2 linked regions of the Drosophila melanogaster genome follow. The gene in region 2 interacts genetically with the main gene of each other region. Each region holds a gene or a part of one and is shown on either strand. Other genes may lie near its edges. The genes, in order: plum and myo.

Region 1 (6,088 bases), on a different chromosome or scaffold from region 2:
GTTGCATTGAAGCTTCCGATATTGAGTAAAGCAAAAATCACTTTAGAGAAATTTAAATATCTGACGAAAGATGGCTGTGAAACTTTGTTGATGGTTGGCACACATGACTCGGTTCGGCCAACATCAAAAGAAAAACTTGAATTTTTCTATTTGAATTTGAGGCTGTTTGAAATGCCTACATTAAAAACGTGGGAATGCTGCAGATGACTGACGCTTGGGGGTGGTTACAAAACAGCCTATAGAAACAGAAACACAGGTGCCTCCAGAACTTGTCATCTAATTGGCCAGCTTGAAACACAAACCTCCGACCAAAAGATAGACGTCATGCCTTTGACTTGTTCACTTACAATGAATTAGAATTATAACCTCGCTTAGCCAAATCAACGACGCAATAACCTCGCAATAGCCGGCGTACATGCAAAGGGGGACCATTCCGAAATCCTGGGGGTAAGCGCAGGGGTGTAAGCCCCCAAAAGCAACCCCCAAAAGGCGCAGGCTAGATGTCGAATATAAAACATTCATAAAAGCAGCGGCAAGGGGTAGTTATCCAGCCTGACGCCACAATCCTCAGCGGAATCGTGCCGCGGAAGACCGAAAAACTTTTCTCGCGTGTTTTACCAACTTTAATATTTCATGTTGCTGATTTTCTTTATGGGATTTGGCCGTGGAAATCCCGGGGACAAACACCCGAACGAAGGAGCCCACACCTCACCAATCCCAACCCCTTTCAAACTCAACAAGTTTTTTTTTCTCCACGCTCCACGCTGAGAGACTTGAAAGACCTTTCGAGTGGAATGCGGACACGCCTGCCATGTTACGCCATTAGTTTATGATTATTGCCTGGAGTTTTGTGGGTCCCCAGCGGAGTTCCAACTGGCACTTTGAATCAGTGTTGTCAACTATTTTAAAACTAAATTTAGCCAAATTTGCCAAGTTCAAAAACTAGCAGCTGCTTTGGTAGATTGCTTTAAGAGTACTGGAAAAACATAACTATTTTACCTTATAATAAAAATACCTTAGTTTAAAAATTGACTTGTAACAACTGGGATTATATTATTATAAATCTACTGAAAACACTCAAATTTGGTCGGAATAACTGCCGAGTTGGCATCACAACTGCGAATTTAGAGTGTGAAATATGGCAAAGGTAACCGCACTCACCTGTTGTCGACTCCTTGGTTAGTGTCAGTCGTCCATTGTGGTCGGTTAGCAGCAGCAGTAGGATCTCAATCAATTGAATCACAAAGAGGCGACGATTGTAAAACAAACACATTGCAATCCGACTTTTTTGTTGTCACCGCTTTCCGGCTGGGGCTCCTTTTTTAGGCCCAACCGCGATTGTAATTATAACTATATAGATTTTTTTTTATCTTTTTGCGATTATTGGAACGTTAGCGAGCTCTTCACGCTCTTCCAGTCAATACGATTAGCAAGAGCATTTTCTCATTTCTCTGTTCACCGCGATGTTTGGCTTCGGAAATAAATGAAAATCGGGGGAGAAATCAAATCACCGAATTTTATTCACTAATCTAATGCACACACCCATGCACACAAACACACACACACGCCCACGCACACAAAAGTATGCTAATACATTTGGGCACAGGCATAAATATTTTACGCGTGCAACAGTGCGTATACTCAATTTGTTAAATAGTCCGCACAAACATGCCGCCAACACGATGGCCCGGCGCCAATGTCATCAGTTTGTCACCGCTCAAATCGGAAAATTGATGAGGTGGTGGGGCATTAACCCGTGGCTTGGGGTGGAAAACAATCCCAAGGGACAGTGAAAATACATACCAAGATTGGAAAAAGCCATATTCAAAATTAACAAATTTTCATTTCTTGTTCATCTTTTGTTCGCGTCGCTTTTTTATCAAATTAAAAGAAGCTCTGTATGAGAAACTAAAAGTTTCAAGTTATTATTAATATTACTGATTTACTTGATTACACTTTTAAAGCATAAAGTTTTGAGAAAGTTTTTCCAAAAGCCAACCGAAGTTTTTTCCCCTTGGTTTCTATTGTTTTACGAACTGCAATTATTTCCGTTCTAAACTTTTTTTGTTCGCCAGTTAGATATTATATTCTGTTATTACACCAAGAACTATAAGTTCTTAGCAATGAGTATAGAATTGCATTGAAAATTACCTTTTTTAACATAGATATTTCTGCTGCTATCAGTTAGCATAATAATATCAGCATTAACAAAGGTATCCTTCATCCTGCGTTTTTCCCCTCTATCCTTTCTTTTTACTTCCTCTGACATCCTTTTATCGGCCCTAAATTTGTACTGGCTTTTTGTGTGTGCTCGGATTTAAGCTGCGATAAATTCGCAGATTCTACGGCTCAGATTCTTCATCTGCCATTACGCACGCATCTCCATAATAATGATAGTAGTCATAATAATAATAATAATGATGATGATGGCGGTGATGATGCCACATAAAAGGCGGCGGAGCCCATTTCAATTTCAATTCGACAAAAGGCGCGTGTATCTGCAAGATACATTTCTATCTCAAGAGCGCAAAATTGCGCGGCAAACCAAAGCTCGCAAAAAGCAAAAAATCGCATATATGAATGCTAAAATATATTTCTGGCTTACTATTATATTGTTGATGCCTTTGCTGTTCGAACTATGAAAGGCTTTGCAAAAAGTAACGCACATCGCAGACAAACTTTTATCCGTACGACAATTGAAAAAAAACAATTCGATAAATCAAAAGAAAAATGAAAAAAAACGCTTGTGCGAATTTGAGCTACGGTTTTTTGTTTTGAATACACAGAAAGTAATTGGATTGCGTTTAAATTTGTAATAGCATTTAGATTTCTAATTGAATTTTATTAAAAATTCGTTTGTTTTATTAACCAAGCAAGCAAATTAAACGAATAAAATAAAAAATGCTTCTGGTTGAAAAAATATTGGAAATACTAGCTTATTTCTTCTGTGCATTGTGGCGTTCATTTGTTTACAGCCCTGCGATATAAAACTTTGTCTCGTTTACATCTTTTTCGAAATATATTGTATAATATTCGGTTTTGGTTTAAGATAAAACCCAAAACTGGAAGATGAGCAAAAAGCCGGCTGAGCAAAGGAAATCACATTGGGGTAGTTGTTGTTATATAAAACAAATTGTACGCGAATTTTTGCACAAAAACACACAGATACACGACACACACACACAAAGAGCCGCAAAATCCGGCGCTCAGGAAAACAGAGAGCGAAAGAGCGGATGAAGAGGACGAAGGGGAGGAAGATGAGGAAACAAACGAATTTCAGCAACGACGCAAATTTCGATTTCCTCGAAATTTCTACCTTCTATTATGCTCGTTCCTCTCCCGACTGCTGCTTCTTCTTGCGCTTCTTGTTTGGGCATCATATACTTTTTTGTTTGCAAAAATAAAAAATAAGGAGAAGAAAACAGTGAAGAAGAAGCAACAGCAGCGGCGGCAGCAGCAGCGCAGCTTACTAAGCTTTTGAGATGCCGCCGTTTTGCTCCTTGTTTTTTGTTTTTGCTACGCTCTTGCTGCTTTGCCTTTGCTTTTTCGGGTATTTTGCCTTTGGGTTTTTTTGCTTTTTTGCGTTTTTGCCTTTTGCGTGAACAAGAAGCAGCAGCAACTACTGTACTTGGAGTTTTTCCTTTGCTACATACATTCGTATATCCTTTTTGCCGCTTTGTTTGTTTGGAATTTCTCAATTTTCAAATACTGATGCCACCCACACGCACACACACAAACGTACACGCACTCCCACTCGCACACATACACGCACTTTACGCTTTTTTGTGCTTTGCTGCGTCTCCAGTTTCTTGTTATTTCGCCCTTTGTTGTATTATGTCATAATTTATTTGTCGCCCAGGACTAAACAATGCCGGAATTTTGCACAATTGATAAAGCCAATGAATCACATTTCGTTTTCATTAGCCCCCACTCGTGCTGTCTTGCTCTTTCTGGCTGCACCGGCTCCTCTCTTTTACTTTTTACTTTTTACTTTTCTGCTACCTTTGTTGTCTTTTTTGCATTTCCGCTTTACGTTTGTGTTTCGCTCGCACTCACGCACTCAAACACACGCAAACACAGACGCACACATAGCTGCAATTACTGTTGTTGCCCAGCTTGTTTAACTTTTGTTTGTTGTTTGAAACACACACAAGCACGCAGCGTCGTCGAAAATATCGCGAATTTACAAGCGCCGGCAAAAATTTACTAGAGAAATCCGCCCGCAATTACACAGAGCGACGCAGCAAACACGTCCAAACTGTTCGCCGAGCTTTGGCGCACTGCTTAACTTATGCTTATGAATGGAACGGCGGCGACAAGCAGCCCGTTCGGCGAAAGAACGAGAAAGCGATAGTGATACTCCCCCAATTTCTCTTTCTCCTCGGCGCTATGTTAACCGATTCGGGAAAGGCGCCGATTTGAATGTAATACGATTGCGATCAGATGGAAAATTCGCATCTGTTTTAAAACGTAAAAGATAAAAACTACCAGCTTCTACTTCTTCTTTACGATGTTGTCTTGCATTGCAAAAATCGAACTCCACAGCTTTAATCATTTAGGCTTCACTTAAACTTAGCACTAAAAATAATGCTCAATATCTTCTTAAACACCAAATAGACATGAAGGAATATCAAATACACATTCCTATGACAAAAAAAAATGTTAAACAATTTCAGCTCTTTTTAACATCAAGATACAAAGAACAAAACCTTTGGGTTTAAATCGGTTAACATTGCTTAACATTAAGCGGTTGTAAGAGAGCAGCAACTTAAGAGAATTTGTACACTCTTTTATCTTGCTCAATTTGAGCTTTGAAGAGAGCCGGCAACTTTTGTTTTTGTTTGCGACGCCAAAATTTCAATGTCGACGTCGCAGTCGGCAGCGTAAGCTTTTCGAGCAGCGAAAAACAAACAAAACGGAATGCGAGTAAAGCAAAAAAGAGACACAAAAAAAATGCAGTTTGTTGAATCTAGTACTAAGATTTAAATTTATTACAGACAAACGTAACTTTTATTTTGCACTAGAAAAATATTACATATTATATTATTATCTTGTGTTATATTATATTATAATTACTTACCGAACACCAAGTACTTTACAGTATTCAAGTTATTTTCCTTTTTTAACGTAATTAATGAAAATATTCATTATCTTTTAATCTTAATTTAAAATATTAACTTAAACTTCATCTCAAATAGGAAGGCGCCGATTAAAAATCGGAAATAGAGATGGCAAATAAAACGAATGGTTGTTGTCTTTACTAAAGGTGAGTTGCGCAGTTGCTAGTAGTGTGACCAGACGGCGATTCACAAAATTTCTCCAAAGTGTGAACGTATGCGAAGATACTTCGTTGATGGAAGAGGAGTGTCACCTTTTTCTTGGTTTTTCCAGAGCGTCATACTGCAAAGAGTTGTTGTTGCGCGCGGGCGGACGACGAGAAAAAATTGTAAACGCGGATGAAAACAACGGTTGATTTTCACCCAACGCTCGTGATTTTCGACCGCTTTTGAGTGTGGAAGCGAAAAAACCGCCTGTTTTTTAACTGCATGAGTGCGTGCGAGTGTGTGTGTGTGCGTGCGTGTACGTGTTCGTAATTTAGACGTGCTGCTCGCTGCGATTTTCGTTGTTCTGTGTGGCCCCTGTAACTACAGTAAATACTCGTGCAAATAACGCGTCAAAGCGTGCGAAAAACGCAGGGAGAACGCCAGCTAGCGCCTTCTCTTTCACTTTTTCGCTGATTCCTCGCCGCCTTAGACTAGCATTTTGTTGTTGCGCAGCCTGCGCGTATATGTGTGCGTTCGTCCGTGTGTGTGCGCTTGTCCTGCGTGTGCGTGTGTGTGTAAATTCCAAAACATACGCCGCTGCACAGTGGCACAAAAACGAGAGAAACGTAACGTAACGAAATAGCTATTTGGATTCCCGGCTTTCGGGCTTTCCCTGTGTGCGTGTGTCCGTTTGGGTGTGTCGCATTAATGTTAATTTTCCGCTGAAGTTTTTCACTATTCCACCATTCCACGCAGCTTCGCTGTGGAGAGGAAGCAACAAATGCGATGCGTTGCGTTGCGTTTCTTGTTTCTTTTAACTAACT
Region 2 (9,227 bases):
AAAAAGTTGTAATATCAACTTTAGTGACGAAAAAATTGTCATTTACTTGATAAACACACTATATAAACGGTACTCATTCCGCACCCTTTTTTACTTATCCACCTTTCTTTCCACTTTGATTTTAAGAGTGCCAAATGAGTAACGCCCGCAAATTACAATGGCAATTAATCTAACCGCCACCAGCTTAAGCTATCGACCAATATCGAAGAGTGTTTTTCTTTTTATTTTTTCTCCATCTCTCAAAAGAGAGTAGGAGTAAAAACTCCTACCAGCAATGTAAGGGGTATCTGTTAGTTACGATCTGCGTAGCTATATTATAATATAAATCATAGACTAATCACAGATGTCATTACTCGGTATATATAACTATTTCCTTTTAAGAGCGTTGTCCCTTTTTTAGAAATGTGCTTGTAAGACTTCATTCTGCAACTTTCTCTCTTAAACACGGTGGCGATCGGAGAACATCTTATGGCCTCACCGAGTGAGTGGCAAGCCAAAGGGCATTACATATAATTTTAAAAAAAAACGGTATATTCCGAATGGGTGCAATGTATGACACAAAATAAAAATATTAGAGTTTCTCTTCTAATATTTTAAATTAAATTTCTGACCTTTTAAATGACCGTCGTCACTTTTTGGTTAAACCAATTCGAAATTAATTACGGTCAAAAGCCTTATTAAAAAACTTTCGGATCATAATTATTTCGACTAATATATGTACTACCTGCAATAATAAGAGGGCTTTTGGGAAAAATTCACACAGATGGGTTTAGTTAGTAGGGAATAATATTTACAAAATATACATACATATTTATATTACGAATGGTCGCACATGTATCCTGATTCTTTTATTAGATATTGATTGTCACACATTTTCTTCGATTTTCGGATGGGGGAAAAACAGTATGTGATTAAACACTAAAACGAACGTTCGTACAATATTGTTTATGCAATATTGTTTATATTTTCTGTGTATTTTGGTATTTTGTAGTATCGATTGGACTTCAGCACGCATCTGCTCGTATCAGGATGGCAACTCTCGGCGTGTAAAAATACAAACGGCAACTCTTAACATATATAGAAATCGATATGGCAACCCAATACCAGTGATTGCGTAGAGAATACGTTATTTTCAAAAATTCGATGCAGTAAATAAATAAATTCACAGATATAAGAATGATAATTTAGCAGACCTAAAGAATCGGTCCATTAATGAGCTATTAATAGTTCAACTAATCTACTCGTTGAAAATGTTGTGAAAAATATTTGAAAGCCAACTAAAGCGTTTCCTATTGTTAAACCATTGCAGAGCGTATAGTGATTTCTGTCAGAAAATTGCAACGTAGTGGAAATAATAGAAAAAAAATTATAAATTCTTGTTTTTGATCAGGAAGTATTTTAGTTCTGTATTTATCGGTTGAATGCGTGATCGCCATTTTCGTAATATTAGGTTTATCGCACGATTACCATCTATATGTGCGTAGATGAAGGAAAATTGACGCACTTGTTGAAATTATTTTATTTAAATCTTTATTATAACCAAAAAAAAATCGTAAATTGTTAACCACAATGGAAAAAATAAGTAGCTTACAATCCATCCAATAAATAATCTCTTATCAGTTACTTTGTTGATACATAAAAGAAGTCTTCTCCATTTGAATTGCTATTCTTAAGTAAAACAACAGAATTGCTGATACAAAGCAATAAAAATAAGTTAGTACAGTGTGAACACCTATCGTTTTCTTCCATATCGATAGGAAACTCATAAATGTATGTGTGGAAAGGCTTAAACATCTGTACGGGCGTCGATATATCGACAGCTAATCTGGAAAACACTAGACATCGCGGTAATTGTCCCTACCCTTTTTATGGAGTTCCCAGATTGCCTTCTTACACAACCATATTAATGGGCAATAATTATATAAGAAGACTGCGGAACAAAGGGGACCCGCACGAATATGTACTTGATTTAATATAAGTTTCTTTTATACACATAAAATTATTTTTGCATACTTATGTAAGTGCGTTGGGTACTTTTTATTAATTCCAGAGTAACGACATTTTTGCCGTTAATTTAAAACACGAAATGTTAGGACAAGAATGCGGAACTTCGGTTAAATTTTAAAAATTCCTTTGTATCAATATAGTCATTCCAGTAGTACAAATTAATACGCATGTAATTTTTGTTGTATAATAGCACTCAATTTTGTGTAATAAAAAAAAACAACTAGGGAACCAAAATTATAGAGACAAATCAAATCCTGCTAATAAAAATATATCTTATATAGTTTCTTCGGGTCTATTTGAAATCTTTGAAATGTAAAAATGTCTACACTCATAACTTATAAGAGTTAAAACGGCTTAAGGATTAAATTGATTTACAATAGAAAGTGATTATTAGCGACAGTGGAAATATAAATAAAATGTTTTCTAGAATTGTAAAAAAAAAAGTAGGAGTATATTCAATAAATATTTCATTTTAATATAATGCTATTTTGCTCGATAAAAATGTTAATATGAATTAAAGTTTACTCTTGCAATGCGTTTCAGCAGATACATTTTTAAAAGCGGCCTGTTATGCCAACTAAAACGAAATTGCCGGTGAGCCGTATGTATCCGATCGCATCTGATCAGCTGCTTTCAGTTCTACTTCGTCGCTCAATCGCACAGCAGTACAGAATCTCTGCGGGTTTTCAAATATTGGTTCTCTATGAGAAATAAATTATTATTATTTAGTGCGCAATTGAATACACAATTTTTTCAAACTATGTGTTTTTGGACAATGAATAATAAATTTAACAAAAGCGGATTGCAAAAGAATAATGTTCGAAACCGTAGGCCCACTGTTACTTCAATATAAAACATTTAATAATATATACTATACATATATTAAAACACACAATTGCCTAGTTTCAAAATAGATTTTGGTTGTACAAGTGTATAAAAATAAAATAAATACCGATAGATAAGTATATATCTACTTATGTACAATTGGTAGGTGTTTAAAAAGTTTGTTATCGCTAAATGTACATAACTTTGTACATACACAGCTTTAAAAATGTACATATGTGCTTATATGCATGCTATTTATTCTGTATGTATGTATAATTTACGTATGTACATACATATGATATATCTCATTTACGTTGTTCTGCTTGTAAAAGGGGAATAATGCACTTTCAGCGATGAACTGAAGTTCAAGAGCACAATAATTTATTATGTTTATAAATGGTTTTAATTGAATACAATAGTGGTCATAAAGAGGACTCATGTGAAACGTTTATGAACGGGCTTTGCATATGTGCATGTACATATGTAGCTTGAACTAACTTTTACGACTGTGTGCACATTAGGGTGGTCATTTTCTGCTGGCGCATCGCGCTTCCAAGGCGGATCAAACAATGCAGATATGATTTTTAATTTTTAAAAATCATTATATCCGGTGCTGCAGGATTTTATACTTCTACTATATTCAAAGTAAGTTTTTTCGTAGCCTGAAACAAGTTTTTGAAGGTTATTATTCCGTTATTCCGAGTTTTAGAATATTCACGAGCACACAAATCAAGTGACGATCGCAGCCTCACCGTGCCGATTTGTGACGAAAAATGGTTTTACAATTGTCAGTGTTTTTTCCTAAGCTTTATAGCCATAGAGCCATTTTTCCCTATGGCAGGTATATAAGTGTATGGTCGTCTGATTTTGATCGATTAAAAACCTAAATTATATATTTTCAAAAAAATGTGCATACTGAAGAAGAACTCTTTTTATTTGAAAACAACGAGTCTATAATTTTTTTCAACAGTTAGCTATATGATATGATCGTCAAAAGTCTATCAATTTAAAACCGAAATATTATATTGTCCAAATTTTGCCAATAATTTTAATATTTTTGAAGTTAGAGATCGTCAGTGGCGTAAGCTATTCAATTTTTTTTTTTTTTTTTTTTTGTATTGACTCGCGAAGGGGAATCATTGACTTCCGTGCTAATGCTTTAATAGGGTTTAAAGGGGTGCGCTCTTCTTTTTTCTCTGCACAGCTGTTTAAGGTATTACCTTGGGAATCCGACTTAATCGAATACAGCAGGGGATTATCTAACAGCTTGTATTTCGCGATTTGATTTTTAAAAAAATTGTAAAATAAGGCCAACAAGAGCCAAGTTGATTGGATGACAAGATCACCAGCCGCTGTCTCCAAAAATAAATAATAATTATTATTTTTATTTTTTCTTATTTTAAAATATATCAAGTATATTTATAAATACAAGTCCTTTTCAGCATTCATCAACGGTTTGATCAAAAATCATGCTGGCCAACTCATGCTGCGGTTGGAGAAAATATAAAACCCATGATCAGCATCATAGAACCCTAAAGAAAAAAACTCGACAGAACACATCAGATACAACAGTTCACATAGAAGTGAACTCCAACGAAATCCAGTTTCCAGGTTCTTACAGATTTAATCTTGACTCAAAAAAAATAAATATCGGGCGAATGAATATTCTTGGACATAAGAGAGGTAATTTCCGTGTAACTCGATATGTCACGGTCACCGTACTCTTAATTTTATCGACTGCAGTCAATGCTTATGCTCAGCCAGAAAATAAAAGCTTCAGTAATTCTTCCAACAACGATAGTCCGGAAATGGTTATGTTGAGTAACGAAACAAACAATAGTGCAAAAGTACTATCAGAAAAAAATGGTTCTTCTTCAATATCGGCGGATGATAAAATAAATGAAAATATGGGAATATTCCAAATGAAAGTACAAAGTAAACCGGGGAAAAAAAGTACCCCTTTAGCAAAGGTATCAGAGCATGGAGATTTATCAAGAGTTCAAAGTGTATCTTTGTATCGCAATACCTTAATAAATATAGAAAGTATGCTACAGCGTCAGTTGCGTGAGAAAGCCAAAGTGGATAGTATAGAATCGATTAAAATGCACATACTTATGCGCTTGAATTTAAAAAAACTTCCCAATATAACAAAACCAATTTCAGTACCACAAAATATAATAGATAACTTTTATAGAGATTATAATGCATCTTCAAAAACTACTGTTTGGAATCGCATGGAAAGCATTGACGAATCTCATTTGTCTATAAATGACACTTATGGCGACCACATAATGACTGATTTTTTTGATGAAAGTTCATCCTCCCAAATGCAGGGAGATGATGCTAACACTGTTAATGAATTTCTGATAGATTTGAATAAAAATCAAGCTAAAAAGTCGGACATTCCTATTAATACCAACGATGAGGAGTACGAGAGTATTTTGTCTCACATCAGCAGTATATACATATTTCCCGAGGGTAAGTAAACAGCATTCTTAAAGTAGATATAGATATAGGAAGATATTGAATAAGAGAAGATATTATATATAAGAGTAGGTATAGATAAAGGGAGGAAAAGACAAGGAGAGCTTAAGAGAAGTAAAAAGCATATATAACGTCACTAAAATCTGTGTAAATATATTTCTAGACTTTTTGTAAGTAAGAAGCATAATCATTTATCTTATATTTATATCTTTTTTGGGCCCGATTTGGTTATAGGTTTAGATTTCGAACTTTTTTCCTTTAATAAGAGAAAGCAAGCAAAAATACATATGACTTCTTCTCTATCTTTAGAAATTGTTTTCCCAAAATTCATTGGCGTAGTGTATTTTCAAAAAAGAATCGACACATTTCCTAAAATCTTGACGAGGTAAAAGACAAGTGGCATTGACCCCTTTAACATACAAAAAATGAACTGTTTACAACAAACATTAATCAATACCCAATTTTTGCTTTTAAGAAATCAAATTTCAATGAAAAAATTAATAATTTTCGTTTATATTTTCGTTCTTTTAGAAATTCAACCTCATGTTCGGCACAATCGCAAGGTCGATGTTTTTCGGTTTCAAATTGACAGTAGCTACTCAGACTTGTCTTACGCTACCCTTCATCTATATTTACGTGGTTGGGATTGGATAAGTGCTCATCAACCTGGACTTCTTGAAGAAATTAAAAAACAGCCACGTAAAGATATTGTTGTGACTATTCACCGCGCTATTAGGGTTGCAAATACAACAAGCTTTAATCCTAAAGTCAAAATGTTTGAGTTTCGACATAGTATTCCGTCAGGACTTGGACAATGGGTTGCTGTGGACTTAAAGTCTCTGCTTGGTAATCTTGGGTCTAATATGACGCAAGAAATTCTAATAAAGGGCGCAGAAACCTGGATGAAGTCATTAGTGGTGACCACAGACAACACATCGAAAAATCCATTGGTTAGAAGCCATTTATAATGAAGTTGAATACACTTACTCTACTAAATATATTTTTAATATTTCAGACTGTTCACATAGAAATTGGGTCGCAAAAAAAGCATCGAAGAAAGCGCAGCGTATATATGGACTGCACAGAAAATGATCATGACATGCGCTGTTGTCGATATCCCCTCAAAGTTAATTTCACCAGCTTTGGATGGCATTTCGTTGTAGCACCAACGTCCTTTGACGCATACTTCTGCAGTGGTGACTGCAAAGTTGGTTACCTAGAGCAATATCCCCATACACATTTAGCAGCCTTAACGACATCGGCCACACCGTGTTGCTCGCCGACAAAAATGAGTTCCTTAAGTTTGTTATATTTTGACGATAACCATAATCTGGTTTTAAGTGTTATACCAAATATGTCTGTCGAGGGTTGCAGCTGTTCTTAGCGAACAAAATTCGAAAGTGTTCTTTGAAAATAGAACTAATACATATGCTATGTAAATAAATTAACGCAAAGGAATATGGATCTGTTTGAGAAGGCTAGTTTAAAGTACAATTCCCAAATTTGATATAAAATTTACATTTTTAAAATGTAAAATAGGTCAGATTGCATGCTGATGATTCCCAAATTAATAAATAGATCGCAATTAAAAACAGTAAAAAATTAAAAAATATTTAAAAATGAATTCCTACATTACCGTATAAGATAAGTATAGAGCGAAACAATATATTTTAAACTGTGCATTACGAATTACAAATGAAAAGCAAACAAAAAATAATCGTTTTAAATAAAATGATTGTATGACGCATAAAGAAATACACGGTTAAAATAAACTAAGTACCTTAAGTTTTGATAAAAATTGAGTGAATAACAAATGGCACCGTCAGACAAATATAGTCTGAACGGAGGCTACATGTGGATCATTTACGGTTGTGTGATTACCTAATTTGAATACACAGCTAAATGTATAAAGGTGTTCATATCCCGTGCATCGTGAGCATATAGAATATTTTACAGTGAACGGCTTTGTGCGTGTGCAAACGAGACTTCCATATGCTGTTCTTTTCAAGACAAGTAAGGATTTGTATGAATAATGTTGATTAGAACAAAGGCTAACCTTACGTTTCGCAAAGCACACAGAACTTATTTCATAATAATTAAAAGTTAAATAACGTGCCAGAGAAATATAGATATACAAGTAGCAATGCAGCGCAGTGGCGTTACAGCGCTCACTTTCTCTATCTCCATCTACATAGTGTTAAAAAAAAATATGCTAGAATTGGTTAGTTTTGAAACTTATTCCGATTAGTTCCTACGATATAAGCTCGAATGCTTGGTTGAGTGCCAAAAAGAACTTATTTTTCTTATGCGTTATTTTCGAATCTTCTATTAACACTACTTGTCGCAGGATTGGCTTCTAAACGTTTGCAAGAGTACTTAGGAGTTGTCAATAATAATAATTTTGACAAGTGCTCCAACATTAGCTGATGATAGGTAAGCACTTAAAGGGGATAGTCGTGAGATGATTGTGTGACATTCCGAATATAGAGTGGGTGAAGATAAAAACTCTTGAAAAAAATTACGGCATTTTGCCAAAAACTTAGGCTCGCTAAGGAGTACCATCGCCAAGGAGTCATACGATCTTATCTGGATTACACGTCTAAAGCGTTCTCTTGTTTTTTTTTTTTTAATAGAATATGGGTTTCGATATACCTAAGCTTTCGGTATAAACTCATAATGTCAACCCCCCCCCCCCCCCCCTTTTACTAATAAGCCAACCAATTTATTTATTTCCGAAAAATTTATTATATAACCATTTAGTGATACATTAGTATATAAGTTGATATACTTATATTTCCATAAATATTTCTCATATAAATTTAGGGCTCTCGGTTCTTAAGTTGGCCCTTTAATGTGAATACTAATCAGTAAAATGGGAATGCCGATCTAAGTCGATATATGAAATGTACTTTAAGATATATTACTTTTTGTCGAACACAATACGGATATTTTCATATTGTTAATATTTTGTTTTTTGTTGTTTAATGTTTGTTATTGGGCGCTTACTTCTCTTTTAATTACTTTTGTATTATACTTATAATTATAAATTTTAAATTAGGTGAACGTATTTATATTTTACATCTATATTAATTCTTATTGTTGTTTTGCATAAATTATTTGTTTTTGTTTCCCAATTGAAGTGATACCTCGTTTGAATTAGTAAAACATTCGTTGTAAATGTATTAGCCGCCAATTATAAGTTAAATGCAAGTCCTTACAAACTGTGTACAAAAATATTTACTACTCTTTTTGTTTGTACGTATTACAAATTATATTTTTTGAAGACTATTCAATCTTTTATTTGAGCGTAGCACAATAGAATTTATTGCAGAACCAAACGGTCGAATTAAATATGCCACCAAGATGTTAAACTTGGTAAAAATAAATTAAATAGACATTCTTTACGTCTTTATTGGAATTAACATTTTATTGTTGCACAATTTTTTGCGCTATTCTAAAATAAAAGATAAAATGAAATTTAATTTGTAACAAAATATGTAAGCAACATTTTCAGGTAAAAACATTTAAAATATTGACTATAAATTGCAATTGTGAAGATATTATATTTTATAATTTTTCAGAAATAAAAATGTCTCAATTGCCGAAGTCCGTAATTTAATCTGAACTCGACTGTTGGGGTATCCATATTTTCTATCATTAATTTTCCATGAATTTATTTTCAATGTTATATGGGAGCTTTTTTCATCAAACAATAATTATGGTTCAAGTTTGTTATAAGCACCATAGATACCGTTTTATTTAAAAAAAACGTAAGTAATGGAATTTTACAGATTAATATGTTCTATTTATTTTATTTAGATATACTTATTCTTTGTCATATGAATGAGAACGCATTAAATACCTTACAACACTATGCTATCTTACGAAGAATATTATTTAGGGCTAAGCAA

Evidence for each region.
Region 1: of myo (region 2) and plum, changing one suppresses a phenotype caused by changing the other (phenotypic suppression), as found in Drosophila melanogaster (one study listed by BioGRID).

What each region holds. Positions count from the first base shown.
Region 1 is NT_033777.3:26,530,952-26,537,039, forward strand, and holds the start of plum (plum), read right to left. Parts: upstream 4,267-6,088; 5' UTR 3,773-4,266; intron 1,472-3,772; 5' UTR 1,274-1,471; coding exon 1,162-1,273; intron 1-1,161.
Region 2 is NC_004353.4:689,464-698,690, reverse strand, and holds myo (myoglianin), read left to right. Parts: upstream 1-2,635; 5' UTR 2,636-2,994; exon of another isoform or gene 2,995-3,353; 5' UTR 3,354-3,477; intron 3,478-4,274; 5' UTR 4,275-4,301; coding exon 4,302-5,310; intron 5,311-5,847; coding exon 5,848-6,266; intron 6,267-6,331; coding exon 6,332-6,700; 3' UTR 6,701-8,005; downstream 8,006-9,227.